6 linked regions of the Macaca fascicularis genome follow. The protein of the gene in region 3 interacts with the protein of the main gene of each other region in a pairwise test. Links are inferred from orthologs where the notes say so. Each region holds a gene or a part of one and is shown on either strand. Other genes may lie near its edges.

What was found.
Region 1: the proteins of TFCP2 (region 3) and ZCCHC12 interact in binary tests that used the Homo sapiens proteins (3 or more experiments, as listed by UniProt). The two-hybrid records come from large-scale screens. The link is inferred for Macaca fascicularis from reciprocal best matches to the Homo sapiens genes TFCP2 and ZCCHC12.
Region 2: the proteins of TFCP2 (region 3) and ZCCHC10 interact in binary tests that used the Homo sapiens proteins (3 or more experiments, as listed by UniProt). The two-hybrid records come from large-scale screens. The link is inferred for Macaca fascicularis from reciprocal best matches to the Homo sapiens genes TFCP2 and ZCCHC10.
Region 4: the proteins of TFCP2 (region 3) and carbonic anhydrase 1 interact in binary tests that used the Homo sapiens proteins (3 or more experiments, as listed by UniProt). The two-hybrid records come from large-scale screens. The link is inferred for Macaca fascicularis from reciprocal best matches to the Homo sapiens genes TFCP2 and CA1.
Region 5: the proteins of TFCP2 (region 3) and PHF1 interact in binary tests that used the Homo sapiens proteins (3 or more experiments, as listed by UniProt). The two-hybrid records come from large-scale screens. The link is inferred for Macaca fascicularis from reciprocal best matches to the Homo sapiens genes TFCP2 and PHF1.
Region 6: the proteins of TFCP2 (region 3) and CDC73 interact in binary tests that used the Homo sapiens proteins (3 or more experiments, as listed by UniProt). The two-hybrid records come from large-scale screens. The link is inferred for Macaca fascicularis from reciprocal best matches to the Homo sapiens genes TFCP2 and CDC73.

The regions. Positions count from the first base shown.
Region 1 is NC_088395.1:125,151,481-125,156,877, reverse strand, and holds ZCCHC12 (zinc finger CCHC domain-containing protein 12), read right to left. Parts: upstream 3,667-5,397; 5' UTR 3,483-3,666; intron 3,135-3,482; 5' UTR 3,083-3,134; intron 2,886-3,082; 5' UTR 2,762-2,885; intron 2,350-2,761; 5' UTR 2,239-2,349; coding exon 1,030-2,238; 3' UTR 496-1,029; downstream 1-495. UniProt on the Homo sapiens protein: Transcriptional coactivator in the bone morphogenetic protein (BMP)-signaling pathway. It positively modulates BMP signaling by interacting with SMAD1 and associating with CBP in the transcription complex.
Region 2 is NC_088380.1:139,542,322-139,548,015, forward strand, and holds the start of ZCCHC10 (zinc finger CCHC domain-containing protein 10), read right to left. Parts: upstream 3,764-5,694; 5' UTR 3,752-3,763; coding exon 3,711-3,751; exon of another isoform or gene 3,707-3,710; intron 1-3,706.
Region 3 is NC_088385.1:57,949,583-57,954,533, forward strand, and holds part of TFCP2 (alpha-globin transcription factor CP2), read right to left. Parts: intron 3,177-4,951; coding exon 3,052-3,176; intron 2,015-3,051; coding exon 1,872-2,014; intron 1-1,871.
Region 4 is NC_088382.1:95,204,759-95,209,709, reverse strand, and holds part of carbonic anhydrase 1, read left to right. Parts: intron 1-298; coding exon 299-496; intron 497-1,684; coding exon 1,685-1,803; intron 1,804-4,951. UniProt on the Homo sapiens protein: Catalyzes the reversible hydration of carbon dioxide. Can hydrate cyanamide to urea.
Region 5 is NC_088378.1:138,280,163-138,285,825, forward strand, and holds the start of PHF1 (PHD finger protein 1), read right to left. Parts: upstream 3,543-5,663; 5' UTR 2,681-3,542; intron 1,677-2,680; 5' UTR 1,661-1,676; coding exon 1,502-1,660; intron 1,420-1,501; coding exon 1,338-1,419; intron 1,232-1,337; coding exon 1,136-1,231; intron 996-1,135; exon of another isoform or gene 810-995; coding exon of another isoform or gene 806-809; intron 726-805; coding exon 625-725; intron 512-624; coding exon 363-511; intron 186-362; coding exon 90-185; intron 1-89. Other genes in the region: kinesin-like protein KIFC1, read right to left, coding at 4,208-4,252. UniProt on the Homo sapiens protein: Polycomb group (PcG) that specifically binds histone H3 trimethylated at 'Lys-36' (H3K36me3) and recruits the PRC2 complex. Involved in DNA damage response and is recruited at double-strand breaks (DSBs).
Region 6 is NC_088375.1:50,859,101-50,863,191, reverse strand, and holds part of CDC73 (parafibromin), read right to left. Parts: intron 2,469-4,091; coding exon 2,327-2,468; intron 1,522-2,326; coding exon 1,485-1,521; 3' UTR 1-1,484.

The sequences.
Region 1 (5,397 bases), on a different chromosome or scaffold from region 3:
AGTGGCTGCTCTCTTTTCCTTAATTGGGGAGGGGGCAGAAGGTGGTGTCAGCCCACAGGAGATTCCTTCTTGTGACCAGGACGTTGTCCAGAGGCAGCAACAGCAACAATGATCTAAGGAATCTGCCCAGATGAAGAACTGTCCATCCCCAAAGTGAACAGAAATGAAGCCCCTGGAATCCCCATATTGGGCTATTACCCCAGCACCAGACTCCCCCGTCCCCCGTCAGACACCTGAGTATATCAGAGAAGAAAGCACTGGTGTTTTGTCAACAAGTGGGTGTCACAATTTGACTCTCTGAGCGAAGGGACAGGTTAGTTGTGGTAAGGGGACTCTGTCCTTTTACCTTTGGGAAATATTCTCAGCCCATTTCTTATTTTTTTTTTCATCTGCAAAATGCGGTTGATTAAAAACTCCACCTCAGAGTACAACTCCCTTTAGTTTACTATATATTTTTTTACTTCTTCCTAAAATAACAGCACAGACACAATAAGGTAGATGCTGATATATATATTTATTGACATAGAAAGCAGCTCACAACATATATTGTTTGGTGAAAAAATACAGAGTATAGAACAGCACTTATATTTCATCACTTTTATCTATACATATATCTATCTGGGTACATAGGTATAGGGAAATATCTAGAAGGGCACTCATCAAAGGGTTGACCATGATTACATAAGGGTGGAAAGATTTGGGTAATTTGTACTTCACTTTTTGTACTTTTTTATTGTTCAAAGATTTAACAATAAATTATACCACTTTCACAAAAAATAAAGCTGTCAAGGAAGTGAGCACACACAGAAAACAGACCCGTAGGCTGCAGGGAGAAGGAGCAAGGACAGAGGTCAGGCTATCTCCCTCCAATGTGCTGGTATCCAAGACCCTTTCTCCTCCACCCCAAAAGATAGCCACTTTGTGGATTAATTCATGCAGTTAGAAGCCCCGCCCCCACCCCAACCCAGTTTTCCCACTACTGGATGCTGAATATAGGTAAGGGTTCACTGAAATCTGGGAGCTGGTTCCTTAGAGTGGCTCAGAGAAGTCAATGTATTCGCCAAGGGCCCCTCTTGACCTCTCCATCTCGGTATGGGTCAGCTCCTGCAGGGTGATGATCAAATTCTCAAAAACCTGGACCTTGTCACTCTCGTTGTCACAGGCTTCTTTTGAGTGACCCTCGTCACCACAATAGGAACAGCGGATTGCGTGTTTTCGCTTCCTGGCTCTACGCATCTCCCCGGGACCATTATTCTTATAGCCAGAACCACCACTGGTGGAAGGAAACTGAGCCCTAGAATTGTGGGGGGAATCAATGACCAGCACTTCATCCTGAAGTCTGGCCCTGTCTCTGAGGGGAGGGGCACCCCAGGATGGAAGTGGAGGGTCCTGAGACTCCACCAGGATCACATCCTCATCGGAGTCGTCGAGGGTATCATCTATCTCTATTACATTGCAGTCAGCACTGCCGATCACTATCGGTGGGGAGCCCTGAAACGCCACAGGGCTGACTGCCCTCTCCACCATTGACTCAGACCTTTTTGGCCGCTTCCGTTTAATAAAAGCATCATCCCAATCCTCTTCCTCCCTTACCATTCTGATTAACTCCAGAAAATCGGGAAGCCGCTCCTGCTCATTTGCATACATCCTGAGAAAATCCTTAAGTCTGAGTCGGAGGTCCCTACTCAGCTCACCGCCTAAAAGGAGCTGCTGCAAGCGAGTCCGGTTTGCATCTTTCTCAGCTATGATGCCTGCCTGAATAGCGTTCTGGAGCTGCACCTCTAAACGGATCACGTAAAGGGAGGTTTTCTCCCCTTGAGCTTGTAAGGTGTTAAAAAATTTACCATGGGCAGTCACACTGCTTTCAGACTCCCCAAACACCAATTTCATGGCTCGCAAGAAATCTGCCACACTTAGGTTAGGGTTGGTCGCCTGAAGCACACGCATGACCTCGCGGGCAGGGCCCCTAAGGGTTTTCATCAAGCGCTTGAGCTTTTCCTCCTCAGACATACTCCAATCTGGCAGGACCCCATTGACTTGGGTCAGCCAGTTTTCAAAGGTTTCTTCCCCCTGGGCTGGCACCACCCTCCCCGAGAACAACTTCATGTTTCTGTCTGCCATGCTGGCCATTATAGGACCGAGACTTCTCCCCAGGGACCTCAGCATGGAATGGGCCCAAGGCGGCAAGGGTGCGTTCTGCCGCCGGCTGTTACCGACACGTGCAATGATGCTAGCCATGACTGACGACGATAGGGTATCTGAATATAAGATGCCTAGACTTTTTAGAGAAGCTTAATCTGCAGGCGGGAGAGGAGAGGGGGTGGCTCTGCGTTCCTATCTCAGCAGGGGCTGTAAAAAAGAAAGGGGAGCTGGTTAATAAGGGAGCAGGCTGCAGCTGCATTCTCTCCCTACCTGAATATCCTGCAGTACATTTTATATTTGCCCACTACCCTAAAAATAATCCTGTAGGAGACTGGCACTTACAACCTCCCAGAGCTACCCGATGGCTGCGTGCTAGCAAGGTGCTTTTTGCAGCCACATCCATCCCTCCCACCAGTCCTCCAACAGGGAGGGCAACTGTTGCTTCAAATTCTAGGTGTAGCAGTGTCTGGAGCTGATATTGGGCTCTCCAAATAGAGTACAATGATCGCAGATTTGTGGAAATAAAATCTCATTAACCTCATGGTCTCTGGTCTCAACCACACCCCCTTCTCAAAGTGCCCCCCACCCCCGTCTCCCTCTTTATTTCTCAGATTCTTACACGAACTCTGAAACAAGAGCGCGCCTTTATTTCATTTCCAGCCTCTGCAACCAGTGCCCTCCGTGGGAAAGCTCCTCTCCGGGTACGGTCAACCTCTGTCCACAGGGGGTCGCAGATCCGGGTCCTCGAGGTTTCAAGATTGCGCCACAGCGGAGAAGGCCAGAGAAGGGAAGGGTTAGTAGCAGCTTCACCCATCATCCTGCTACCCACAACCTCCGCTGTTGCCAGGCGAAAAATTCTCTCTGCCCCCTCCTGACTATAAGCCAGAGACCAGCCCCCCACCCCCAGCATTACATCTCCCCCAGGAAGCCGTCGGCCTACCAGCTCTGCAATCAGCTGCACAGAATTGAAGTTCAGATGCGGCTTTGATGGCCTGCCACGGAGAAAGGGAATAGGAGTTGGACACACCCACCCACATATTCCTCCCAGAAAGAGATGAGTAGATGCAAAGGAGGTTCGAAGCAAACAGCTTGAGATTCCTACCCACCCCCCCGCCCCACCGCTACCCCTCGCCTCTGCCCCCCACCCCCAAATCCAGGCAAATCTTACCCAGTCCGCAGTATCCAGGTGAACCCCACCTCCTCCCTCAGCGCAGCCGGGCCAAGAGAGTACTCCTACCCCTGCCTCGCAGTCACCGATTCTCCAAGCGGGGCGCCGCCCAACACTGGTGGGTCTTCCCCCACCCCTCTCCCCGCCGGGCAATCGCACCCCCCTTCTTTACCTGTGCTCCGCTGGTGGGCAGCTGATGCTCCCGCGTCGCCAGCTGTAGATTCCGCCTTCTGGTCTCCTCCGCCCTGCAGGGGGCAAAGAATTGAAGCCTCCTTGGCCGCTAAGCGACCAGGGGCTGCCCGAAGGAGCTGCTTCGCACGGCCGCCCAACCAGGGGTAGCCGAGACGAGACAGCGCGGTTCCCAAGGCAGCCGCGGCGGCTTTTATCCTGGGCCAGCTGAGACAAAAGAGCGTGACGAGCGGGCCAGTGCGGCCAATCAGCGAAGTGCGGGGGCGGACGCCCGGCACAGCCTTGGGCAGAGGCGAGTTTTCGCCCGAGGGGGCGGGGGCGCAGCAGGCCCGCGGAGCGTCAAGTGCAGCTTGATTAGACCTATGGAGCCAATCTGCCTGTTACCCGGGAATTTGCGACTCTTTCTTCCTCCCCCAACCCTTCCCTTCTCCCTGGGCTCAACGCTACATCTTAGGCCAGGTGCATTAAACACGAACTGGGTCCAAAATCAAGTGAATAATAAAAGCTCTTCACCTTGGTATAGGAGAAAGAGGGGGAAGAGGGGAAGGGGCGGGAAGAGCATTAGCACGTGCATTGCGGAAACAGGCTTTCACAGACATCTCCTCTTTTATTGTGAAGGAAGTATCAGTATGTCCATTTAACAGAGCGGAGAGCTGGAGAACAAGGCTCTCAATCAATACCCATTCAAGTATGGGTGCAAGACATCAGAGTCATTTAGGGGAGCTTGTTAGAAATGCGTCTTCTGGCCCGGCGTGGTGGCTCACACCTGTAATCCCAGCACTTTGGGAGGCCGAGGCGGACGGATCACGAGGTCAAGAGATAGAGACCATCCTGGCCAACATGGTGAAACCCCGTCTCTACTAAAAATACAAAATATATATATATATATCAGCTGGGCATGTGGTGCGTGCCTGTAATCCCAGCTACTCGGGAGGCTGAGGCTAGAGAATCGCTCCAACCTGGGAGGCTGAAGTTGCAGTGAACCAAGATCGCACCTCTGCACTCCAGCCTGGCGACGGAGCAAGACTCCGTCTCAAAAAAAAAAAAGAAAAGAAAAAAGAAAGAAAAAAAAGAAATGTAGGCTCTGGGCCCCAATTCTGGTGAATTCAGATTTACTAGGACTAGGGGTTGGGGTGTGGTTTTATATTTAGTATTTTATTATTATTATTATTATTATACTTTAAGTTCTAAGGTACATGTGCACAACGTGCAGGTTTGTTACATATGTATACATGTGCCATGTTGGTGTGCTGCACCCATGAACTCGTCATTTACATTAGGTATATCTCCTAATGCTATCCCGCCCCCCCCAACAATAGGACCCGGTGTGTGATGATCCCCTTCCTGTGTCCAAGTGATCTCATTGTTCAATTCCCACCTGTGAGTGAGAACATGCGGTATTTGGTTTTCTGTTCTTGCCATAGCTTGCTGAGAATGATGGTTCCCAGCTGCATCCATGTCCTTACAAAGGACATGAGCTCATTCTTTTTCATGGCTGCATAGTATTCCACGGTGTATATGTGCCACATTTTCTTAATCCAGTCTGTCACTGATGGACATTTGGGTTGATTTAGTATTTTTAACCAGCCCTACGGTTGGTTCTGAGGTGTAGCGAGGTTTGTGAACAAGTAAATGAGCCTGTCTCCAATATCTGTCGAAAGGTATCTGTGGTGAAATGCAATTCCAGAGCAGATGTGCCTACCTGGAATCCATGATCTTCCTGAAATTGTATGCAAAGATTTTGGACTCTGTGTGAAGCTAAATAATGGCCACCCAAATGTATCAAGTCCTAATCCCTGAAACCTGTCAATGTTACCTTATAAAGTAAAACGGTCTTTGCAGGTGTGATTAAGTTAAGGCTTTTCGACTTAATTTTCCGGGCAGACTGAAATCTAAAT
Region 2 (5,694 bases), on a different chromosome or scaffold from region 3:
ACAAGGACAAAGGTAAGTCTGACACTTAAGTCCAGAAAATCAGTACAAGGCAGGGGAGGTCTGACTTGATGACAATTCAAGTAGAAAACAAGGTTTTTTAGCCGACTGAAATCATAGCAAGGGTCAAAAACAAGGGAGTAAGAAAAAAGTGAGGTTTAACTTTATAAATATTATTTCTTTTCAGCTCAACATAAACTTTTAGATAGATTTGAAAAACACAACAGGCCACGTCAGGAGGTAGTACACATTACTGGAAATCTTCAAGCCAAGTTTGATAATGACTCTGGATGTTGAAGAGGAAGTAGTGGAATCTCATATAAGGTTTAATAGAAGAAATGACCCCAAATGTTGCCTAGATTCCATAGTTTACTTAATATGGGTATATGTAAGTACAGTTTACAAGGTAAAAATAATTTCATTCCAATTGATTTAGTAGACTGACTAGTTAAGTCTCTGAAAGAGCTACTCAATGAGGAGTTTGTATTTAGGCTTTTTTCCCCGTTTTCTTCTATTAGTCCAAAGATCTTTTTTTTTTTTTTTTTTTTTTTTAAGAACGATAAGGCCAGGCGCGGTGGCTCACGCCTGTAATCCCAGCACTTTGGGAGGCTGAAGCAGGCAGATTACCTGAGGTTAGGAGTTCGAGACCAGCCTGACCAACATGGAGAAACCCCGTCTCTACCAAAAATACAAAATTAGTCAGGCGGGTGGCACATGCCTGTAATCCCAGCTAAAGGAGGCTGAGGCAGGAGAATCACTTGAACCTGGGAGGTGGAGGTTGTGGTGAGCCAAGATTGTGCCACTGCACTCCAGCCTGGGCAACAACAGCGAAACTCCATCTCAAAAAAAAAAAAAAAAAAAATGATGATAGTACTTTCTCACTTCTCATTACTAACTTAAAAACTATTTTAAATTTGTTGTTATAGAAGTAATATATGCTCCTTGTAAATAAAATTAAACCTTTTTGATGAATATAAAATGAAAAGTAAAGGCTCCTCTCCTGCTTTCCCCCCAAATACATTCCCCAAACTCTCTTGGACTTCGCAAGCCTCTAAAGGCCCTCCTTTGCTGAATCCCTTGGAGACTTACACTCTGTGTAAGTCTGTCCGGAGCTGCACGCCCCGGCCATAGCGAATAATAATTAAAGATTAAACGCCTGAGCTATATTCATTTCCACCCCACACCTTCTCCCTAGATTTACCTTCTTCCCTGTATTAATACCGCCATTAAAAGATGGCGCTCTTCCTGCTTCTTCTTCATTCATTTTTCCCACACCCGCGAAAAGACTACCTGACTGCGCAGGCGCAACATGACGTCCGACCGGAGAAACCGAAGCCTATCTGGCCACACCTTCCGCAATGAGGTCATTTCCGCCTTAGCCCAACCCCTTCCCCTCCAAATGTATATAAGGCATTGCATTACCACCATTAAACGAGACTTGATCAGAGCACTGTCTTGTCTCCATTTCTCCTGTCTCTTGTTCCCCAAATTCCCACCCCCTCCTCCAGGGACTGCTCTGACTATCCCGTGGGCCGGGATACGTGGCGCCCAACGTGGGGCAGTATACCACAACGGTTTTTACAGTATGCCACATGTTTGCTTCCCAACAGGACCAAAAGCTCCTTAAAGGTAAGATTTGTCTTTTACAAATCATGTAACTCATGTACCAAATACAGACACATTGTAGATATAAAACATTTAACTTTTGATACTTCTGAAACAATAAATAGCAGTATTATTCAGATGCTAAGTCTTATTTTCACTTCATATTTAAAGTGGACATTAGTTTTGCCAATCCTGCATTCATTTACCTCCTCTGACCTATCTACCCTGGTTATCATTGGCTTATGGTCATCCATTCAGTTGTACTGAAAGGAGAATAAGATCTCTAAATCAATCAGATATTCACAATCCCACAGGCATAGTTTAACATTGGGCATGTAATCCAATCTAGACCAAAGAAGTACAATCAACTTGAAGCTGAGAGAATATAAAGGACCCTGGATACTGCAGCCATCTTGGGAGCAAAGAATAGAGCCTATTCAAATATGGAGCCAACAACCAAAGAGCAAGTGTGAGAGACAGACAGGGAGAAACGGAACCTGGTGACATCATTTAGCACTCCCTTTAAGTATTATCATCCCATTTTTGATCTCAGAATTGTCTGACTTAATGGTAGGCACAGTGGCTCATGCCTGTAATCCCGGCACTTTGGGCGGCTAAGGTGGGATCACTTGAGATAAGGAGTTCGAGACCAGCCTGACCAACATAGTGAAACCCCGTCTCTACTAAAAATACAAAAATTAGCAGGGCATAGTGGTGGGCACCTGTAGTTCCAGCTACTCGGGAGGCTGAGGCAGGATAATCATTTGAACCAGGGAGGCAGAGGTTGCAGTGAGCCAAGATCACACCACTGCATTCCAGCCTGGGCAACAGAGTGAGACTCGGTCTCAAAAAAAGAACCGTCTGACTTCAAGCCTTCTTTCTTCACCAAGCTTACTACTCTAACTCCCTAAGTCTGTCTGTACATTTGAGGAACTCTTCTTATCAGGCCTGAAAGTGTAGATGGAAAGGAAAAGAGAAAAAAAGGGATTATTTGAATTAAAAATATATAAAAAGATATAAATACACATATATATACTAGCAGACTTTGAGCTATATATGGACATGAAAATGGAGATGGCATGAAATATTTTATGAAAAAGAGGCAGATGTTTGGATGTGCAAAGGCTGTGCAAAAGCTTTATAAGAAAGGGCATCTGGGGTGACCCTTGCATTATTTGTCAGGTGTGAATCTCTTCTGCCACTCTCTCTTATTCATTAGGCGTAATGGCCATCTTTCAGTTCTTTAAAAAGTAAGTTTCAGCCTCAAAGCAATTATGCCACTATCCGGATGCTCTTTCTCCAAATCCTCTTATGACTGTTAATTTTTCACCCTTTAAATCTCTGTTCAAATTCCACCTCTTCAGAGATGCCTTTTCAGTCCAACCAACCTAAAGTGGGCCTTTCTCTCTTTCCATCACAACAGTTTGTTTCCTTCAAAGCTGTTATCACCAGCTGTATTTACATTTAGTAGTTTATCGACTGTTTCCATCACTAGAATGTAAGCTCTCTGAAAGCAAGGATTTTTGTCCTAAAAAACACCTCTTTTTCTTTATACCCAATGTCTGGCACAGAACGGTAGGTACTAGATAAATTAATATTTATTGAAAGAATGAGTACCAAAAAGTGATAAGATAGCTTGGGAGGGCAGTCGGCATTGTAGGCAGGATTCCTAGGGAAGGCGCTAGAATAAGGAAGTAGGAAAAGGCAGCAGGGATGGACGCTAAATAGGAAACTGAAGGTTTACGTCGGCCGGCATAAAGGTGTCGGACCGGGGCTTCAGGGCTCCCTTGTCGACGCGTGGGGTTGGCGGAGGGGCATAAATCACTGAGTGACCAACTGTGGGCGTTCCCTTCAGAGAAACCAAACGCGACAGTTGTCTTCAAACCCCGCTCTGTCCCGTGCCGCAGACTTTACACGGCTGTCTTCCGTGAAATCGCTAACCCACGGTCACCAGACTTATCGCTCGGGCCCGAGCCCCTCGGGAGCCAGAAGCGTGTTTGAGAAACAGACATTCTCCGCCGGTCCCAACAGGGGTCCGACACTAGCCCGTTGACGCGCGTTTCACCGCTCCCAGCCCGCCGGTGGGCCCGAACCGGATCCTTACTTACGCTTGCCTCCGAGCTATGAGCCGATGCATGGGAGTCGCCATCTTAGCGCGGTCAAAGCCGGCCGCGCAGGGTTTTGGGAAACTCCTCGGAAGGGCGGGGCTTCCAACCGGCAGGCCGTAGACGTAGGCGAGGCCAGACAGGCCTCTAGGGGTTCTGGGGCAGCCTCCGCGGCAGGATCTCAGTGCCGGCTCGGGAGGGGAGGGAGGGGAGGGAGGGGAGGGAGGGGAGGGAGGGGAGGGGAGGGAGGGGAGGGAGGGGAAGGAGGGGAAGGGAGGGGATGGAGGGGAGGGGAAGGGAGGGGATGGAGGGTCGGAAGAGGAGGGGAGGGGAGGGGCTGGTGGATCGGGAGGGGCCGGTGTCTCCAGTGTGGGTCTCGGGTTCTCTGGCGGAACCGGGTTTCAAAGGATGATTACAGGCAAGAACATTATCTGTGGAAAATGAGGACCACATTCTCGAACGAGGGATACACATACAAAGACAAAGAATGAAACTGTGGTGTTCAGAAACTTAGAAGTAGTCTGGAGAATAGAAAGGAATTAGTTGACCAGCAATTGAAAGAATGACTTTAGCAAGCCATAGAGTGCAAACATACACGTTATTTCTGTTTTGTATGTATTTCACAGGGTTGTTACAAGTACTAAATGGGACTGTGTAAAGCTGCTTTGTCAAGCAGAAAAGGACTATACAAATATTTTACAATATTTTAGCTGCACCTACATCTAATGTCAGCTCACGGAGCTATTATTCTCTTAAAACACGTTCTCTGAAATATATATAACTTTCTGAAGTGTATGTGTGTGTGTGTTTCCGGGTCATCCATATTTTTTCCTTTTTTTTTTTTTCCATTTGAGACAGAGTCTCGCTGTGTCGCCAGGCTGGAGTGCAGTGGCGCCACCTTGGCTCAGTGCAACCTCCAGGTCCCTGGTTCAAGAGATTCTCTTGCCTCAGCCTCCCGAGTAACTGGGATCACAGGCACACACCACTATGCCCAGCTAATTTTTGTGTTTTTACTAGGGACGAGGTTTCACCATGTTGGCCAGGATTTTCTCGATCTCCTGACCTCATAATCCGCCCGCCTCAGCCTCCTAAAGTGTTGGGGTTACAGGCTTGAGCCATCGCGCCCAGCCATATGTTTTCAATTAATAATTAACACTTAAAATGTTTTAGGAGCTGAGGACAGAGCATTTGAACAAATAAAATCCGTGTACACATGGAACTTTCTACACACCATGAATGAAAACTATTCCCATGGGATAAGTACTCTTAACGAAAAATATCTCAGAGTAAGGGATTAAAGAGTGATTAGGAGTTAGGGAGAGTGATGATGTGACCTTTGAGCACAACTTGTTCTTCAAAAATCTTGGGCTCTTACGTGTTGTGTTTTCTAGCTTGCTTTTTTCATTCATCAGTGTATTTATGAAAATGTTTCCCGGCCAGGCGCAGCGGCTCATGCCTGTAATCCCAGCACTTTTGGAGGCCGAGACGGGTGGATCACCTGAGGTTGGGAGTTCCAGACCAGCTTGACCAACATGGAGAAACCCCGTCTCTATTAAAAATACAAAGAAATTAGCCGGGCATGGTGTTGCATTCCTGTAATCCCAGCTACTCGGGAGGCTGAGGCAAGAGAATCACTTGAACTCGGGAGGCGGAGGTTGCAGTGAGCCGAGATCGCACCATTGCACTCCAGCCTGGGCAACAAGAGTGAAACTCCGTCTCAAAAAAAAAAAAAAAAAAAAAAAAAAAGAGGCCGGGCGCGGTGGCTCAACCCTGTAATCCCAGCACTTTGGGAGGCCGAGACGGGCGGATCACGAGGTCAGGAGATCGAGACCATCCTGGCTAACACAGTGAAACCCCGTCTCTACTAAAAAAATACAAAAAATTAGCCGGGCGTGGTGGCGGGCGCCTGTAGTCCCAGCTACTCGGGAGGCTGAGGCAGGAGAATGGAATGAACCCGGGAGGCAGAGCTTGCAGTGAGCAGAGATCA
Region 3 (4,951 bases):
AATTTCATCCAACTCATTCATAGATATACCTGTAATAATATTATTCTTAATTTTTTTTTTTTTTTTTTTTTCTGAGACGGAGTTTCACTCTTGTTGCCCAGGCTGGAGTGCAATGGCCCCATCTCGGCTCACCACAACCTCCACCTCCTGGGTTCAAGGGATCCTCCTGCCTCAGCCTCCTGGGTAGCTGGGATTACAAGCACGTGCCACCACACCCAACTAATTTTGTATTTTTAGTAGAGATGGGGTTTCTCCATGTTGGCCAGTCTGGTTTCAAACTCTCGACCTCAGGTGATCCGCCTGCCTCGGCCTCCCAAAGTGCTGGGATTACAGGTATGAGCCACTGCGCCTGGCCTTTTTTTTTTTTGGATGGAGTCTCGCTCTGTCACCCAGGATAGAGTGTGGTGGCACAATCTCGGCTGACTGCAACCTCTGCCTCTCGGGTTCAAGCAATTCTCTGCCTCAGCCTCCCAAGTAGCTGGGATTATAGGCACCTGCCACCATGCCCAGCTAATTTTTGTATTTTTAGTAGAGATGGGGTTTCACCATCTTGGCTAGGCTGGTCTTGAACTTCTGACCTTGTGATCCACCTGTCTCAGCCTCCCAAAGTGCTGGGATTACAGGCATAAGTCACTGCACCTGGCCGGCCCTCTTAATGTTTAATAATTACTTATTAAAACATGTAGCATATTTACATTATTTTAATCAATTGTATAATTATGATGATTCCATTCATAATTTTTAAATTTTTATTTAAAAACTTTGTTTCAAACAAATATAGTAGGATAATCAATAAAAGATGTTTGTGCATAAAAATATGTTACGGTAAGATGGCCAGGCGTGGTGGCTCACATCTGTAATCCCAGCACTTTGGCAGGCTGAGGCGGGTTGATCACTTGAGGCCAGGAGTTCAAGACCAGACTGGCCACATGGTGAAACGTTTCAGCCTCTACTAAAAATACAAAAATTAGCCGGGCATGGTGGTGGGCGCCTGTAATACCAGCTACTTGGGAGGCTGAGGCAGGATAATCGTTTGAACCTCGGAGGCAGAGGTTGCAGTGAGCTGAGATCACACCACGGCACAACAGCCTGGGTGACAAAGTGAGACTCTGTGTCAAAAAAAAAAAAGTTACAGTAAGATAAAATTCAATGGGGGAAGTAAATGAAAAAAGGAGTTCCAGGAAACAGGAATAGTACAAGAATTCTAACTTAAAGGAAAGCACAGTCGTGTTTTGTTTTTTTTTAATGGATGGTGGTGGTATTAAATCATTTTTGCATTAAGATTACATGGGATGCAATTAGAATAATGATGTAACCATTTCACTTAGAAATGTCATTATATATGCCCAGAAATGACATCTTTTACAACTATTTAAACTTTAACAAAAAATTTTAAGTCAGCCTAAAAATGTGCATGGGAATATGTGGTTTTTAAAATATTTCAGGGTGGGGCGTGGTGGCTCACATCTGTAATCCCACCACTTTGGGAGGGTGAGGCGGGCAGATCACTTGAGGTCAGGAGTTTGAGACCAGCCTGGCCAACATGGCAAAACCCCGTCTCTACAAAAATACATAAATTAGCCGGGCGTGGTGGCACGCGCCTATAATTCCCACTATTCCGGAGGCTGAGGGAGGAGAATCACTTGAACCCAGGAAGTGGAGGTTACAGTGAGCTGAGATTGGGCCATTGCACTCTGGCCTGGGCAACAGAGAGAGACTGTTTAAAAAAAAAATTAGGAGGAAAGCAAGCAAAAAAGTATGAAACCCTCTGATCTAGAAAACAGAACACTCTGCCCCAGGAGAACTGCTCTTGCTCCATGTGCTGACAAATTAAGCATCATCTGGTAATTCAACTGTACTGAAAAATCTACCTCATCACTGATGAGCACATGAATTCCTGTTGGCCCCTGCTTGTAAATCTGGCTGATCTGGCAAGGGGAAATGCTGAAAAGCTGAGCAATTTTTTCTGTCAATTCAACAGCTGTCAGTTCTTCTAGATAGATGGCATGGTAAACTGCAAAAGGGAGAGAGCAACAGGAGTCAGTACAAAGTTTGTCTGCTCTTACACATAACTTGATCACTAGGAATGTCCACTTTTCTGAAGGACTCAGAAATCAGACTGCCTAAGCTCAAACCCTGGCTCAACCACTTGCAGCTGTGTGACCTAGGGCACGTTATTTAACATCCCTAGGCCTCATTTTTCTCGTGTAAATACTAGAGATAACAGTAAAATCCTCCACAAAGAGGAGATATTAGTTGTAAATATTAAAGCATATAAAAAGTGTTAAGAATAGCACCTGGATGGGCATGGTGGTTCACACCTATAGTCCCAGCAATTTGGGAGGCTGAGGCAGGGAGATCACTTGAGCCCAGGAGTTCAAGACCAGCCTGGGCAACATAGGAAGATCCCATCTCTACAATAAATAAAACAATTAGGTAGACGTGGGGTGCACACCTATAGTTCTAGTTACTCGGGAGGCTGACGGGAGAGAATCACTTGAGCCCAGGTGGTCAAGTTTGCAATGAGTCATGATTGCACCACAGTACTTCAGCCTGGGTAACCGAGTGAGACTCTGTCTCAAAAAAAAAAAAAAGGCCGGGCGTGGTGGCTCAAGCCTGTAATCCTAGCACTTTGGGAGGCCGAGGCGGGCAGATCACGAGGTCAGGAGATCGAGACCATTCTGGCTAACCCAGTGAAACCCCGTCTCTACTAAAAATACAAAAAACTAGCCGGGCGAAGTGGCGCGCGCCTGTAGTCCCAGCTACTTGGGAGGCTGAGGCAGGAGAATGGCGTGAACCCAGGAGGCGGAGCTTGCAGTGAGCCGAGATCGCACCACTCACTCCAGCCTGGGTGACAGAGCGAGACTCCGTCTCAAAAAAAAAAAAAAAAAATAGCACCTGCCATATATTAGGAGCTCAATAAATGCTAGTGATTATTGTTACTTCTAGCAAACGCTAAATCTGCTGTTTGATAGCTTCCCATCATACATGCCCATAAGTTACCTCTTCACCTTTCTTCCTATCTGTCCTGGTGTGTCCAGAACAACCTACCGAAGAAAGTGCCATTTGAGTCTCCATCCTCCTGCTTCTGCTGCTGTTGCTGCTGCTGTTGTTGCTGCTCCCTCAACTGCAGTGACTCCTGACAAACATAAATGGTTAACCTTGGACGCACCATCCTAAGGGGAGGAAAAAGGCTAATTAGTCTTACATTCTTTATGGTAAGCACAATAAAAAGGGAGAAATTGTGTTTCTACATTAATCATATAGAGCAGATGAAAACTGGAAGCTCACTGGCCAAATGCAATTAATTTGCTATGTTTTATTAGTTCCCCAGTGGTAAGGGTTTTTTTTCCTTAAGTGGAATTAGTTCCAATATGAGACATCACATAAAGCTCTGAACTTTTGGCTTTTCCTGAATATCTAGCAATCTTAGGCCTGCATTCTCACATGAAAACAATCAGCTGTTCTTACATAATGCATATATTCTTCACTATACCCCAGTCTTGACTGCCATTCATTTACATTACCTGTATGTCCTCTATAGTCATTTGAGTTTGTGGCCTTTGGTGTAAAAGTTAGACATAGTCAAAATATAAAAGCCTTATGTCTTTTTGGGTCAGGTTCAAGATATACTTCTTACTAAAAAATACCAACACAGTAAACTAGATCATCTTATTTCTCTCATTATCTTCTCCTAACTAGCCTAAATCCTTTTTCTGCTCTTCTTAGAGAAAGGTATTCAACTACCTCTTGATCTGATCCTCTGAATCCTTCCAATTTCTAAACATTCTTTAGATAATATGCTTTAAAAAATGAAAGATCGGCCGGGCACGGTGGCTCAAGCCTGTAATCTCAGCACTTTGGGAGGCCGAGATGGGCGGATCGCGAGGTCAGGAGATCGAGACCATCCTGGCTAACACGGTGAAACCCCTCTCTACTAAAAAATACAAAAAAGTAGCCGGGTGAGGTAGCGGGCGCCTGTAGTCCCAGCTACTGGGGAGGCTGAGGCAAGAGAATGGCATAAACCCGGAGCTTGCAGTGAGCTGAGATCCGGCCACTGCACCCCAGCCTGGGCGACAGAGCAAGACTCCGTCTCAAAAAAATAAATAAATAAAATTAAAGATCAATTATTTTTCCCCAAGTCATCAATCCCTGATTTCCTTTCTTTCCTTAAAATTTTCCAAGCTTCAACATCCCTTATGATGTAGACAAAAACAAATATGACCAGGCACGGTGGCTCACACCTGTAATCCCAGCACTTTAGGAAGGTGAGTCGGAAGGATTGCTTGAGCTCAGGAGTTTGAGACCAGCCAGGGGAACATGGCAAAACTCCGCCTCTACAAAAAGTACAAAATTAGGCGGGCATGGTGGTGCGCACCTGTAGTCCCAGCTGCTCAGCCATCTAGATAGGAGGATGGCTTGAGCCCAGGAAATCGAGACTGCAGCGAGCCATGATTGCATTGCTGCACTCCAAGCTGGGTGACAGAGCAAGACCCTGTCTCAAGAAAGAAAACCCAAAACAAAAGCAAACCAAAAATAAATACTGCACAATCTGTTTTACTATGCAGTCACTGATTTGGTTCTGTTGCCATTGACCTAAATGCTTTTTTCATCAGTGTTACTACTACCTATTTAAAATTGTAAATCCCAAAAGAGGACCAAAAATTACCATGTATTTTAACAACTGCAGGGAGACACTTAAGTAATTACTACCCACGTTTGCCTGGCCCGGTGGCTCATGCCTGTAATCCCAGCACTTTGGGAGGCCGAGACGGGCGGATCACAAGATCAGGAGAGCGAGACCATCCGGCTAACACGGTGAAACCCCGTCTCTACTAAAAAATACAAAAAATTAGCCGGGCGTGGTGGCGGGCGCCTGTAGTCCCAGCTACTCGGGAGGCTGAGGCAGGAGAATGGCGTGAACCCAGGAGGTGGAGCTTGCAGTGAGCCA
Region 4 (4,951 bases), on a different chromosome or scaffold from region 3:
CGAGAAGCTGAAGCATGAGAATTGCTTGAGCTTGGGACACAGAGGTTGCAGTGAGCCGAGAGCACATCACTGCACTGCAGCCTGGGTGACAGAGCAAGACTCTGTCAAAAAAAAAAAAAAAAAAAAGAAAGAAAAGAAAAGGGACATTTTCAAACACAGAATTTGTATTAATCTTAACAGAATATCATTTAATACACTTAAACCCTAATCTAGTAAGCAAACAGGTAACTACACTCCTAAAACTTGGAATCAAGCATTTGATAAAGTATTGATTTTACACATGTGTTTGTCCTTGTAGGTCCTGAACAATGGAGCAAGCTATATCCCATTGCCAATGGAAATAACCAGTCCCCTGTTGATATTAAAACCAGTGAAGCCAAACATGACACCTCTCTGAAACCTATTAGTGTCTCCTACAACCCAGCCACAGCCAAAGAAATTATCAATGTGGGACATTCCTTCCATGTAAATTTTGAGGACAACGATAACCGATCAGGTGAGCTGAAAGACCCTGCTGATATTTTTTTTCTTACAGTCTACTGGGGAAGTTTAAAAAATAGTACTCGAGAAACATGACACCCATTCTAAGTCTTTTGTGCTTGTGTGTAGCGTTACTGTAATCTAGTGAGGCATCTTGGACTTCTGGAAAATGCCCAGGTGGTAAAGACAATTTTTGGAATTCCCAGCTCTGTATTTTCAGTCTTTCTTCTCAAAGTCACCATCACATCTCTTCTGGTCATTCTGGTATCTGTGTGCTCACTTCACTCTCTCTGAATAAACAGTATTTATCCAGAAAGGTCTAGTGAACCAGTCATTACAAATATAACAACTGAAAAGAAAAATATTTTCTAATTGGGATGAAGATGAATGAGCACAGTAGAAAAGAAAAACAAAACAGTGACTGAATTATCCTTATACTCCAGAATCTGGAACAAATTTTGCTACAGAGTTAGCTTTTCATGAAGGTTTATTGAATATTTTATTAAATGACAATTCCATAAAACAGTTCTACTGATTTAAAATGCTAAACTTGTTTGCGAGCTTCTGAAGCCTAAATTTTAAGTACTTTGGGGCTATGTCCATTATTAATATTAGATTAGGTCTGGTATGATGTGCATTTAGCTAATATTATCATTGGATAGGCTCTCCAAACAAAGTTTTAAAAGTGTCCCACTGCCCCACTGGTACTCTCTCTTGGTCCTTGGCCAGGGATTCTCAACAAAGCTGTCAATATACACTGTTGTGTCTTCATCAGTTGCAGAGTAGGTGATGAATGGTTCATTACTCAAAATAAACTACTAAAGATTTTTGATGCATATTGTCTATGTTGAAAGAATGAAGGAATAAATTTGCAAATAAAAGGAGATTCAAGGACAGCCCTGTAATGATATAATTCACTCACCTTGCAATATGCCTTCTAGGAGTTGGAAATAGGTAAAATTATAGCTCGTGTGCTGGGAAATGTATATAACTCATGGAATATCTCATCAATGCCACAGTCAGGTGTGTACCATACATATGACTGTCATCCTCATAGATGTGGGGTAAAACAAGATGAAAGTGTAGGCACTAATGTTTGTTTTCACTTCTAGTCAACACAATTTAGTGTTGGTTTGTATTAAATGCAAAGATAAGCTAGAGTTTGCGGAGCATCAGACTAACAATCGGTTCCCTTTTCTTCCAGTGCTGAAAGGTGGTCCTTTCTCCGACAGCTATAGGCTCTTTCAGTTCCATTTTCACTGGGGCAGTTCAAATGAGTATGGTTCTGAACATACAGTGGATGGAGTGAAATATTCTAGCGAGGTAATGTAATTTAGTAAGTGAGAGATAATTACCCTGAGAGTACTCCCAGAAGCAGTTTCTCCCTTCTCTCCTAAAACAACATCATAACGACTCCAAAGGAATGAGTATTCCACTAATGAACTCCCAGGTTCCATTAAAATCAAGCACAGACACATAACGTTTGGCAAGAGAGTGAAATGTTTCATGTGGAAAGAGGCAGCTAAACTCCTAAGCCCAAGATTCACCTTTCCCTGAGAATGCCTCAAAAACTGTTACCTTAATATCATGGCTAGCTTCAAAGGGTGACACTGCTCTCCTTTAAAGCTCTAACCTCAAATGGAACACACAACCATTTCCTCTTTATTTAAATGTTCAAGTTTGGACACACCAGCAGTATGGTTGTGACCAAGCTGGGACAATTCAATGAGACTCTACTATCAGCTCGAATTTAACCATAGCAATGGTCACAGAGAACAGCATACACCTAGATGAGGGTCTGAGCTTCCCTGGCTCTTAAACTGCTCTCACATGGAATTTGTGACTTATTTCAGGACATTATTACCTGTATATCCAAAGAAAAATTGAAGACATGTACACCAAACTGTCAATAGAGGGTCCGGGAGATTAAAATGGGAGAAATTTTGCTCTTTACTTTAGATGTGTGAATTATATAATACATGTGTACCCATACACGCAGGTTGACTCTTTAATTTTGCTTTCATCAAAGTGAATTCTATAATATACATAATTTTGCAACCTGCTTTTTTCTATTTACCCATTTATCACGATAATTTTTAAAAATCAGAAGAATGGGCCAGGTGCGGTGGCTCAAGCCTGTAATCCCAGCACTTTGGGAGGCCGAGGCGGGCGGATCACGAGGTCAGGAGATCGAGACCATCCTGGCTAACACTGTGAAACCCCGTCTCTACTAAAAATACAAAAAGAAATTAGCCGGGCGTGGTGGCGGGCGCCTGTAGTCCCAGCTACTCGGGAGGCTGAGGCAGGAGAATGGCGTGAACCCGGGAGGCGGAGCTTGCAGTGAGCCGAGATCGCGCCACTGCACTCCAGTCTGGGCGACAGAGCGAGACTCCGTCTCAAAAAAAAAAAAAAAAAAAAAAAAAAAAAAAAAAAAAAAAGAATGAATTTCACCTCACTTTTTTACTTTCTGTATAGTATTTCATTTGGGTGAATACATCATAATTTATTTAACTGCCTTCTATTGATGAACAATCACAACATATGATTTTTGTTTAATTGGTTTCTTTTCCTTTTATTAAAAAATGCTTCAGTAAATATATCTGTACATATATATTGTGCACTAATGAAAGTAATTATGTAGGATAGATTTTTACAGGGCAGATTGCCAAGTTACAAAGTATATGTATCTTTTATTCTGATAGAATATCAGTGATTGTGTACAAATAAAACTTGCTTTACCTTGTGTTGTAAAGCACGACTAACACCTTTCAATGCTGCGAGAATCTGTTAATTGGATTTTCCCCTCCATAAAATTGAAGATAGATTAAAATTAAATGGACTAACAGCCTAAATTAGTATTATCTTTTTGGAAAGACAGTTGGTAGTATCCAAGAAAACTAAATTAGTGACTCTCTCACCTAAATTGAGAAAAATCAATATAACCCATGCTAGATATGAGAGACACTTAGCCACAAAGTTTAGCATGTGATTAAATTCAATTCAATAAACCTTCTTGGGATAGCTATAAGACACTAGATTTGAGAGACAGGGCAGCCTGTTGCCTAAGAATGCAAGTACCCAGCTGACTGCCAGGGTTTGAATCAAAGCTCAACCACTTACTAGCTGTACAACTTCAAACGAATCACTCTATGCTCCAATATTCCTATATAGCAAATCTAGATAATATAACATTAGTATCCATCTCAATGATTGTTAACAGCATGAAAAGAGTAAACCCATACAGAGCACACTTAGACCAGCACCTTTCATGTTGCATGTGCTGAATAATGTTACTTAACATTTCCATAGAGACACAAGCAAGCCCTTTTCAAGCAGGGAAGTGTAGGCATAAATTATTGTGATTAAATAAATATAGTAGTAAATGGCAGTATGACTATTCACAAAGAAGCACAGGAATACAGATGTAAGAATAATTAATTACAAGTAGGGACAGAATCTAGACTGGCATGGTCAGAGGAAATTGCAATAAGTGATCTCTCTGAATATACTGTCTTAATCATTCTTTTTTCATTCAACAAATATTCATTGAACACCTACAATATGCCAGATACTCTCTTTATTTATTTTTGGTTTGTATTTATTTATTTATTTTTGAGAAAGAGTCTTGCTCTCTCACCCAGGCTGGAGTCCAGAGGTGCAATCTCGGCTCACTGTAACCTCCTTCTCTCAGGTTCAAGTGATTCTCCTGTCTTGGCCTCCTGAGTAGCTGGGATTACAAGCATGTGCCACCATACCTGGCTAATTTTGTATTTTTAGTAGAAACGGAGTTTCACCACGTTGGTCAGGCTGATCTCGAACTCCTGACCTCGTGATCCACCCTCCTCGGCCTCCCAAAGTGCTGAAATTACAGGCGTGAGATACTGTTTTTAAAAAGTACTTGTGATCAGAACTTATTTGATAGGGAAAATAAAAATTTCAGAGGAAGGAAGGGAAGAAGGAAGGGAGGGAGGGAGGGAGAAGAATAGGAAGAAGAGAGATTAAATAAGCGATATGGATAGAATTGTTTTGATTTGTGGTGGTTACTTTATGTTGGATGATCAGAAAAGAATTGTTTAAGGAGTGGCATTTGAGTTCAACCCTAACTCAAGACAAAAGTCTGCCACTTGAAGATCATGGGGAAGGAAATTCCAGAGAATATTAGAAGCTAATGCAAAGACTCAAAGTTGTGATGAAGTATAATCTGTAAGATGTGAATGTTGATAGGTGGGGAAAGTAAGAAATGAATGATAATTGTTGTACTTATTGATTCAGCAATTAAAAAACCTTATCCTAGGAAGGTAAATTTAAGCAGGTTTGGCAAGAAGGAAATCTAGAGTTCTATTTTGGCCAGATTAAGTTTGAAACATCTATTAGACATCCATGTAGAGATATCAAGAATACATACATACATACTTGGATATACAAATCTAGAGTTTGCAGAGACATTAAACTGGAGATATTTGAGAGGCGT
Region 5 (5,663 bases), on a different chromosome or scaffold from region 3:
GAAGAGACTGGAGTGGAGACAGGCATGGGAACTGAGGGTGGAGCACGAAGAGAACACCTTGGCTTCTGGAGAGTCTGCCTTGGTCTCACCTGTCCCCATAGAGGAGGGGCTTGCTCAGACACTGGGTGCAGGCCTCATGGAACCACTGCAGGCAGCTCCGGCACTGCAGCATTTTCAGGTTCCACCTGAGGGGGAACATAGGACTTCTGGCCTCCAGAAACCCCCTTCCCCATAACTGCCCCAAACCCTAAACTTACCTCCCATCCCCCTGAGTGCTACCCTCATCCTGTTCTTTTTCCTTCATTTCCTGGGAGGCACCACCACATCATTCATTCCACAGTCTGCTCCCCCTCATTACTCACTCCCCAGGGCCACCACAGTAACAGTAACTCTGCTGTCGGTTGCTCAGATGTCCAGCATCCCAGTCCAGCCCCTTCAGTCCATATGGCAGAGAGAGCTTCATACCCAGCATGGCCCGGGCATAGGGGCCCTTCTTCAGGGCACCTCCCCTCTGCAGAGACAGGACAGGTGGATGACTTCAGAGGGGTGGGGAGAGGAAAAGGCTTGGGAGAGGATGTGGATGGGAGGCTCTCACAGGAAGGGGTAACAGGGAAGTGCCTTTACCTTGGTGGCGATCGCAAAGACACACTGGCGGCATACCCAGGATGTGCCCTCTCCCTCTCCAGGGGCTGGGGCCCTGGGAACATGGCAGTCCTGGTGATAAGCTGAAGAGTGATAATGTTAATAGTAGACCACTAATTGCATACCTGTGTGTGCTTGGTATTGGGACAGGAATAGTCTTTACCCATCTCATTTAATCCTTGACCATGTTCTTGATGAGAGGGTACATGATCCTTATTTTACGAGTCAGGGAACTGAGGCTCCTAGAGGTTAAGGGACTTGTCCAAGGTCATATGGTTAGAAAAGGATGCAGTTAAATCATCCTCTGCTTGCAAAGGTTACACCACCCCTTTCCATGGCTGCTTCTCCCTGGGCTGAAAGGGGATGAGGACTAAGATAGGGCTAAGCAGCCTGGCCAGAGCAGTGGCTTGGGGACTAAGGCCACGACAGGTGACATAAGGACCATCCTGGAGGGAAGAGCAAGCTAGACCATTCAGGTGACCTGCCCTCTCACCATGGCGACACTTCTCACAGCTGACCAGCCGGTTCCCAGGGACCACAGTCTCAGAGCGACAGACACAACAGAGGAGTTCCTCCCCAGGGAGGGCAGCTGTGAGAGAACACAGTGTCACGGGGCCTGCCCTTAAGTCTCTTTCTGCCCCTCTAAGCCAGGTTTGTTTTCCATGGGATGTGCAATCTCAGGTCTCTAGTCTTACCAGGGCTAATGTCTTTCCATAGAACCAGAAACTGCGAATCATCCTCAAACTGGACCAGACACACCTCTCTAGCACTGTCCACCTGGAATGGGTGAGCAAAGAGAATGAAATGGGAACCAGAATTAGATAAGGGAAATAGGAAAAAGATCAGAAGTAGGTCTTACCTTTTTGATGGTACCCAAGTATAGCAGCCCATCAGTCCATCTGGCCAGCACATCTTGACCCTCCCAAAGTCGAGGCCTGGGGCCAGAGGTGGGAGCAGGAGAAGCTGGGTCCCAAAGTGAGGAGGTACCAGAGCGGCTCAGCCGGGGGGGCTGCGCCATTGCATCCTGGGGGGGCCTAGCCAGAAAAGAAATGGGGAGGAGAAGGTTATGAATGCTCAGAAAGCTTCCCCATTTTTTTTTTCTGAGATGGAGTTTTGCTCTGTCGCCCAGGCTGGACAATCTTGGCTCACTGCAACCATCACCTCCTGGGTTCAGGCAATTCTCCTGCCTCAGCCTCCCAAGTAGGTGGGATTAAAGGTCTACCCACCACCACGCCTGGCTATTTTTTGTATTTTTAGTAGAGAGGGGGTGTTGGCCATGTTGGCCAAACTGGTCTCGAACTCCTGACCTCATGATCCACCCACCTCAGCTTCCCAAAGTGTTGGGATTACAGGCGTGAGCCACCGCGCCCGGCCAACTTCCCCATTTTCTTTGCCTATTTTGCCGTCAAGAATGAAGGATCTGTGCCCCCATCTCCAAATCCCTGAGACACCTGGATAGGAAACCACCAGGCACCCATCACCAGCTTCTTGAGTCCTCTTTCAACTCTAGTGACTGGCTCTCCTCACGGTAACTGCCCTCCCCCCAACCCCAAACCTAGTTGCTAGTTTCCCAGCTTCCAGAGCTCTCCTGGGATATTATATCCTGGCCTTGAAATTTTAGGAGAAATTACGGTTGTAGAAGCAAAGGCTACCACTCAGTTTAGAGGTATCATAATTAGGGTGTCCTGTTGCCCAGAGATGTGTTTTGGGACCTTTTCTGGAGATGTTTTCCAGAGCAGAAACGGCTGTCTCCCCAGGCCTGCGTGTCTCATTAAGAACAATCATCCTGGTGCCAGGTTATGTCAGGTCACCCTCAAATTCGGGGCTCCCTGCCCCCGGGTTAGACAACTTCTCCGAGTGCCCCGGGAGGGGGGCGTGTCCCAGTCCTGGTCTCCACTCCCCAGGACCGCAAGTCCGAGAAGGGACTTGAGTCGGCCCAGCTCGGACCCGAGGCCAAGGCGGCGAGGCTCTCCCGCCCGCGCCCCGCGCCGACCCCCGGCTCCCTGCCCCCCACCGGCGCCTCCTGCCGCCTCCTTACCGGTGACAGCTGGGGCCGCCAGGAGCCGGGCAGGGGCAGACGTAGGAGACCTAGGCGAGTCCCCCGCGCGGAGAGGGCACGTCCGGGCGTGGGGGGGTTGTGCAGGCGGAGGCCGGGGGGTCCCCAGGCCCAGCCCCTCCGTCCCGGCGGCTCTGGGGCGTATGACGCAGCAGCCAAAGCAGCAGCAGCGGCAGGAGGAGGAGGCGGCGGGGGGGAGGGAGGGGAGGGACGGACCGGTTGGGGGGGAGGGTGGTGGGAGGGGAGGACTGGGGGGAAGGAGGAGCCGGAGGGGGGGGCGGGCACCACCTCACCCCACCTCCCTCACCTCCGACAGGCCTGGAGGGTGCCGAGGAAGAGGCAGGCCCTCCACGGCTTGGGAAGCAAACAGTCGGACCCGGTGGGAGAGGGAATCCCCTCAGCCCCTTCCTCCGACCTGAGACTCGCCCTTGGGGCACGAGGGAATCCCCCCTCCCGGCAGCGCGCCTCCGGACTGGTCCCCCGCCCCATGCCACATCCGTTAACTGCCCCACCCCCCATGGTCACTCCAAGTCCCGCCCCCCGGCCCCAGTTCACGGCCCCGCCCTCCATTCACCCTTCTCGATGCCCCCACCACGCCCTCCTCCCTCGCGCGCCCCGCCCTCCACTCGCCGTTAGCCCCAGCCCCGCCCTCCCCGTGGCAAGTCGCGCCCCACCCGCCGCCCTTTTGCGCACGCGTGTCCCCTCCTGCGCGCGGCACCTGGGAGGACTGAGCTCCTCCTTCACGGGGCGGCGGCCGTCGGCGGTTGGCGAGAGGGAGTCGGCGGGCGTGCGCGCCGCTTCCCGGGTACGTCCCGCCCCGTGCTTCCAGGGCTGGCGCAAAGACGAAGGGGGCAAGGACCCGAGGCGGTGACGCCACCGAGAGCCAGCCAATGGGCAACGAGCGGGCAGAGCCCCAGCCGTTCGAACGGAAAGGCAGGGAAAGGGCGGGAGGAAAGAGCCAGCAGTTTGGGAGCGCGCGCTAGCCCCGCCTCTGGACTCCGGGGTCCGGTCCCCATTTGCCGACACCCACCAAAGGAACGTTGCTCCCTGGGGCTGGGGTGGCCGGCGGAAGGGTGAAACTTATCTAGATAACTAGTGACCAAGGAGAGGGTGTGGATAGCTAGAGGGCACGCCTCCCTGATGTGAGGGACGGGGGAGGGGGTATTAGCAGAGGGGAAAATGATCCAGACCATGGTCCAGAACCGGTGAGAGCTAAGGAGAGGAAAAGCCCAAGCCCTCAGCCCCCGCTCCCGCCTCCCACACAAACGTTTGGCAGAGGGGACAGATCACAGCTCCCACCTTTACAGATATGAAAATATCTGCCTTCTTGGGCAGATAAACCTTTATTTAAAAAAAAAAAAAAAACTATTCTTTATTTGATAGCCCTGGGACATGGTGCCCTCTACCCAATAAAGCACCCTCCAGCAACCCTCCCACTCCTCACCCAATACATACACATACAGATACAGACACACACACACACTCCCAACACAAGATCTGGATCCGTCTTCACTTCCTGTTGGCCTGGGCAGTACCAATAACACACTGGTTCACCTGGGGGTAGACAGGATAAAAGTTTGCAGAGTAACCAATACATTTTCCCCAAGATCTCCTTCCATCCTCCAATGCTAGGGCTGCCCTCAGAAATACTGAAATAAGGCCTCCAAAGGCAGGTTCAGGCTGGTCCCAGTTATGGTTGGTTCTCCTCTGCACACGGTTTGGAGGAGGTTAAAAGGCCTGAGAAGAGATAGAAGCCCCAGAAGAAAATACAGGAGCAGAGAGAGGAGGCTTTCATTTCCAGCAATACCCTGTACTAGAGACCTCCAACCTCTCTCACTGTAAAATACTTAAACCGAGATAAAAGAGTAATAACACCCATTTAGGAACTAGGACTCCTTAGAAAATGGATCAGTTGAAATCTGGGGAGGAAATGTACAAGTTGAATCTGAAAAGACTGCTTGAGTTCTGTCTAAAGGACACTGGCGCCAACCTGAAGGAGGTTCTTTTTTTTTTTTTTTGAGACAGTCTTGCTTTGTCACACAGGCTGGAGTGCAGTGGCTCGATCTCGATGCTCACTGCAAGCTCCGCCTCCCAGGTTCATGCCATTCTCCTGCCTCAGACTCCTGAGTAGCTGGGACTACAGGCGCCCTCCACCATACCTGGCTAATTTTTTGTATTTTTAGTAGAGACAGGGTTTCACCGTGTTCGCCAGGATGGTCTCCATCTCCTGAGCTCGTGATCCACCCGCCTCGGCCTCCCAAAGTGTTGGGATTACAGGCGTGAGCCACCGCACCCGGCCAGGAGGTTCCTATTGGCCCAAAATGGGGCAATTTGAGCATCAGAAAGAGGAACGACTGTGGCTGGGCTGGGTGGCTCACGCCTGTAATCCCAACACTTTTGGTGGCTACAGTGAGCTATGATTGAGCCATTGAATTCCAGTCTAGGCAACAGAGCGTCTCTGTCTCAAAAAAATAAAGATAAAAATAAAGATAACCCTCAGATAAACATTCATTGGTCACCTTTGGAAGCTGCTAGGGTATCAACTCAATACTGAAAATCAATAAATAATTCAGCATTTATCTTGTTTTTCCTGTATGAACTGAATTTCAGAGAAACCAAGTAGATGGCAAGGCAAATGTCTTCATAAAAAAATTATGACTAACCAATGCAGAACAACTAAGATTAGAAAAATCGCCATTTAAAAACCCCTTAATGAAATAATGGATCCAGGTATGGTCACTGATGGGTAAAATCACTAGGTGAAAAAGTCAGTAAGGAGCTTTTAAATGGATAGATCACGCTAACACCACCCAAATATGATAAATAAGTGAAAGTACGGGGGAAAGAGGAAGCAATCAGCCAAAATCCAGAATAGTATATTCGATAGGACAAATGACCTTCAACAAACAAATGACATAATAGTGGCAGTGTGGGGTAGGGTTGTGGAACTTGAGACATTTCAATC
Region 6 (4,091 bases), on a different chromosome or scaffold from region 3:
TGTTCAAACCTTGTAAGTATGCTAAAATCTAGTAATTTAAAATGCTGACTGTTCTCTTCTGAAGAGCCTTGTAAATACCATGTGAATAAATATCTTTTCTAGTTACTAGTGGTATGAACTATGTGACTACTTAAAAAAATAGTAACTTCCCATTTTTGTGACAGTGTTAAATTTCATTAAGAAGCTAGATAATGTCAGCTTAATACCTATGAAAGGCCTGTTTACCAAACATATGTTAACCTTGGAGAAAACTGCTGGAAATAAAAACAGAGAAAAAAAATGACATAAGACTGTGATCAGCAAAAATTCCAATGGCAAAAACAGTTTAGGAAAGCAAAGCTTCCTAGTTGCTTTTAAGTTAAAAAAAAAATTGAAATCAAGGTTCAAGGAAAATGGTCACTTGATGTACCTTGGATGCAACATTTTGTTAGTAAAAAATATTTTACTAAGTTAAAATATAGTTTTCATATTTTACACCATATTGAATACACACATAAAAATACCAGTGTTTTTCTCTTGTTTCTTTTCAGACAATTAAGCAAATGTTTTCTTTGGTGCCTGGGAGTTTATCAATATTTAGGGATAGTGGAAGATAACAACTCCAAGACTGACAAGCCTAAAATAGAAGATTCAAAATCCTATACCATAAAAATTAGAATCAAAGGTGGACTAAAGAGAAAAGTAGCTTAAAGTTATACTGCAACAGGGTTGATACATATTCTTTCCCCAAATCATACTCTGGCTCCCAAAATAAAAAATACTACAGCCTATTGTGGTTTTAATCTGTGTTTTGAGATTTTTTTTCAAATGGAAAGATATCACAGATAGAAACACATCATTCTAGGTTTCAAAATCACCAAAGTCAGTGAGAAGAATGTACATTCATTTAAATGTAATCATTTGTAAATAAAGAAATCTTGGAAAGGCTGAACAGTTCAAATTGAAGAATTGTTCTTGATTTTTCATCATTCTTTTTAAATAAAGAGTAAGTGTAGATATAGTGTACATACAGGTTTTGACATTTTGATTCATTCAAAATAGTCACATCCCTTTGCTTGGTTTTGGATGTTCCAGAGACTAAAATTTAATACCATTCACAACATAGTATTTTTAGTAAAAAGAATTATAGAGCAATGAAAAATCAGAAGATGGCTCAGAGAGCCTTTTATAATCTCTAAATATACACACATTTATAACCTGCATTTATTTTCTAAAACAAATTTTAAGTAATGCTAATTTAACCAATGGAGAAAAAACTTCTATCAAAATATACAATTTCCATTACAGACTAGAAGGCTAATATTAAAAAAATAGTTGTAAGCCAAAAAGTTTGCTTATATGGATGACAGGCATCATCTCCTTGAAGCACAAAGCATCAAATAAGGTCTTATAAAAGATCAATCTGTGACCTTCTTCATTTTTAAGTTCTTGATAAATTCATAAAGCTTGAGTCTCAATTTCCAGAAATGGAGGAGCCAAATAATTCAGAATCTCAAGTGGGATTTATGCTTTACCATGTACCTGAAAAAAAATATGGTAGGTTATAATGACTATAGGAATTTTAGAATTTTTAGATTAATGTATGTAAAAACAGGCTGACATTTCTTAAAACTTAAAATCAACAGAATAAAATGCTGTTTTCTAGAAAACTGGAAATATAAGGACTTCTGGAAAAAGCTAGAAATAACACTCCTCTTATTAAGTAATATAATCTAAGAGCTTCTAGCTAAAATAATATATATGTTTCACATATATTGTGAGAGACTCGCACCAAGAATGTTACAGACTTTTAAGGAGCATACTTCAAAGAGAACCGATTCAGTGGTATTTACTGTCATCATACGCTGTTCTTAAATTTGCCAATTACAAAACTTTTATTAATGTAAAGGGTTTTATGAACACTACAGTAATAATTAAAATAAATTTTAAAAATTCATTTCCTTTTGTGAACCATCCATAACATAAATCCAGAATCAGAGATCTTTCAGTACTTGCAAAAAAACATAGGGTTCTCTTAATCAAAAGTTCCTTGGATAGGAAATAAGGTTCAAAAAGATCACACAGATAATTAGAGACAGATTACAAAACCAAGACTAAAGTCTAAGTTCTGACTCAGTTTAGTGTTACTTCTATCAGGCTATATTAAACTCTCCATCTAAAGTAATTATACAAAAAAAAATTGTTATTTACTACAGATAAGCATCAAGTTAATGTTAAAAGAAGGGAATTAGAGAACAAGACTGACAAATTTATGCAACTTAAAATTTAACTAAGACAGAAAAATTACAATAAAACACACATAAGCATATTTTAGAATCAGAATTACCTGTCCAACGTTTCCCAAAATCGTAAGAACACTGGTCTATCCAAATGACGTTTGTGATAGCTGAGTTCTAACACTGTTACATCCCATTTCTGAACATTTGGATCCAGACGAACTTCATCATACTTCAGATGGAAGGCTTTAACTACAGAGGGGGTGGAGAGAAGTAATCATTTTTTTATTCAAAATTAAAAAAAAAAAAAAACTTTCTTCTATCAACTGAAGCCACATTATAACTAAAGTGATCTTTTAAAATATTATCTTTAAAAACATTCAGGGTTTATACATGCCAGCCACTGGAGACTAAAATGAGGAATAAGGTAAGATAAAATACACATGGTCCAGTGAAGGACAATAAGAAAAGAGTATAAGGGTGGGAGGTTATCACAGAAATACAAGAGTGCAACCATACCTTGGAGATACTGTGGGTTCAGTTCCAGACCACCGCAATAAAGTAAGTATCATAATACAGTGAGTTACACATATTTCCTACCTCATTGCATATAAAAGTTACATTAACACCGTATCAGAGTCTATATTAAGTGTGCAATAGCATTATGTCTAAAAAACAATGTACATGCCTTAATTAAAATGTACTTTCTTGCTAAAAAAAAAAAAGCTAACAATCATCTGAGCCTTTGGCAAGTCCTAATTTTTTTGCTGGTGTAGGATTATGCCTCAATGTTGATGGCCGTTGACTGAATAGGGTGTGGTGGTTGATGAAGGTTAGGGTGGCTATAGCGATTTCTGAAAGTAAGACAACAATGAAGTTTGCTGCACTGATTGACTCTGCCTTTCACAAAAGATTTCTCTGAAGTATGTGATAATATTTGACAGCATTTTACTTACAGAAGAACTTCCTTTAAAATTGGAGTTAATCCTCTCAAATTCTGATGCTTTATGTCATGTTCTAAATCCTTTGATGTCATTTCAACAATGTTTACAGCATTTTCACAAAAGTGCTCACTGGAGTGAATTCCATCTCAAAAAACCACTTTCTTTGTTCATCTGTAAGAAGGAACTCCTCATCCATTCAAGTTCCAGCATGAGAGTGCAGCATTTCAGTCACATCTTCAAGCTCCACTTCTAATGCTAGTTCACTTGCTATTTCCACACCCTATCTTTATTTCCTCCACTGAAGTCTTAAATCCCTCAAAGTCATCTACGAACCATGAAGGTAGGAATCAACTTCTTCTAAACTCTGGTGATGTTAATATTTTGACTTCCTCCTATTAATCACAAATGTTCTTAATGGCATCTAGAATGGTAAATCTTATCTAGAAAAGCTTCAATTTACTTTTCCCTGATCCATCAGAGGAATCACTATATATAGCAGCTACAGCCTTACAAAACTTATTTCTTAAATAATAAATCCTGAAAAGTCTAAATTACTCCTTGATCTATGGGCTAAGGAAGAGATGTGTTAGTAATCATGAAAACAACATTTGTCTCCTTGAACACCATCAGAACTCTTGGGTGACTAGGTACACTGTCATTCAGCACTAATATTTTGAAAGGAATCTTTCTTTCTGAGCAGTAGGTCTCAACATGGGCTTAAAATATTCACTGAACCCTGCTGTAAACAGATGTGCTGACATTCACGCTTTGTTGTTCCATTTCTAAAGCACAGGCAGAGTAGACTTAGCATAATTCTTAGCGGCCCTAAGATATTTAGAATGGTAAGTGACCACTGGTTGCAACTCAAAGTCCCCAGCTGTATTAGCCCCTAACCAAAAAGTCAGTCTGTCCTCTGATGTCTTGAAGCCAA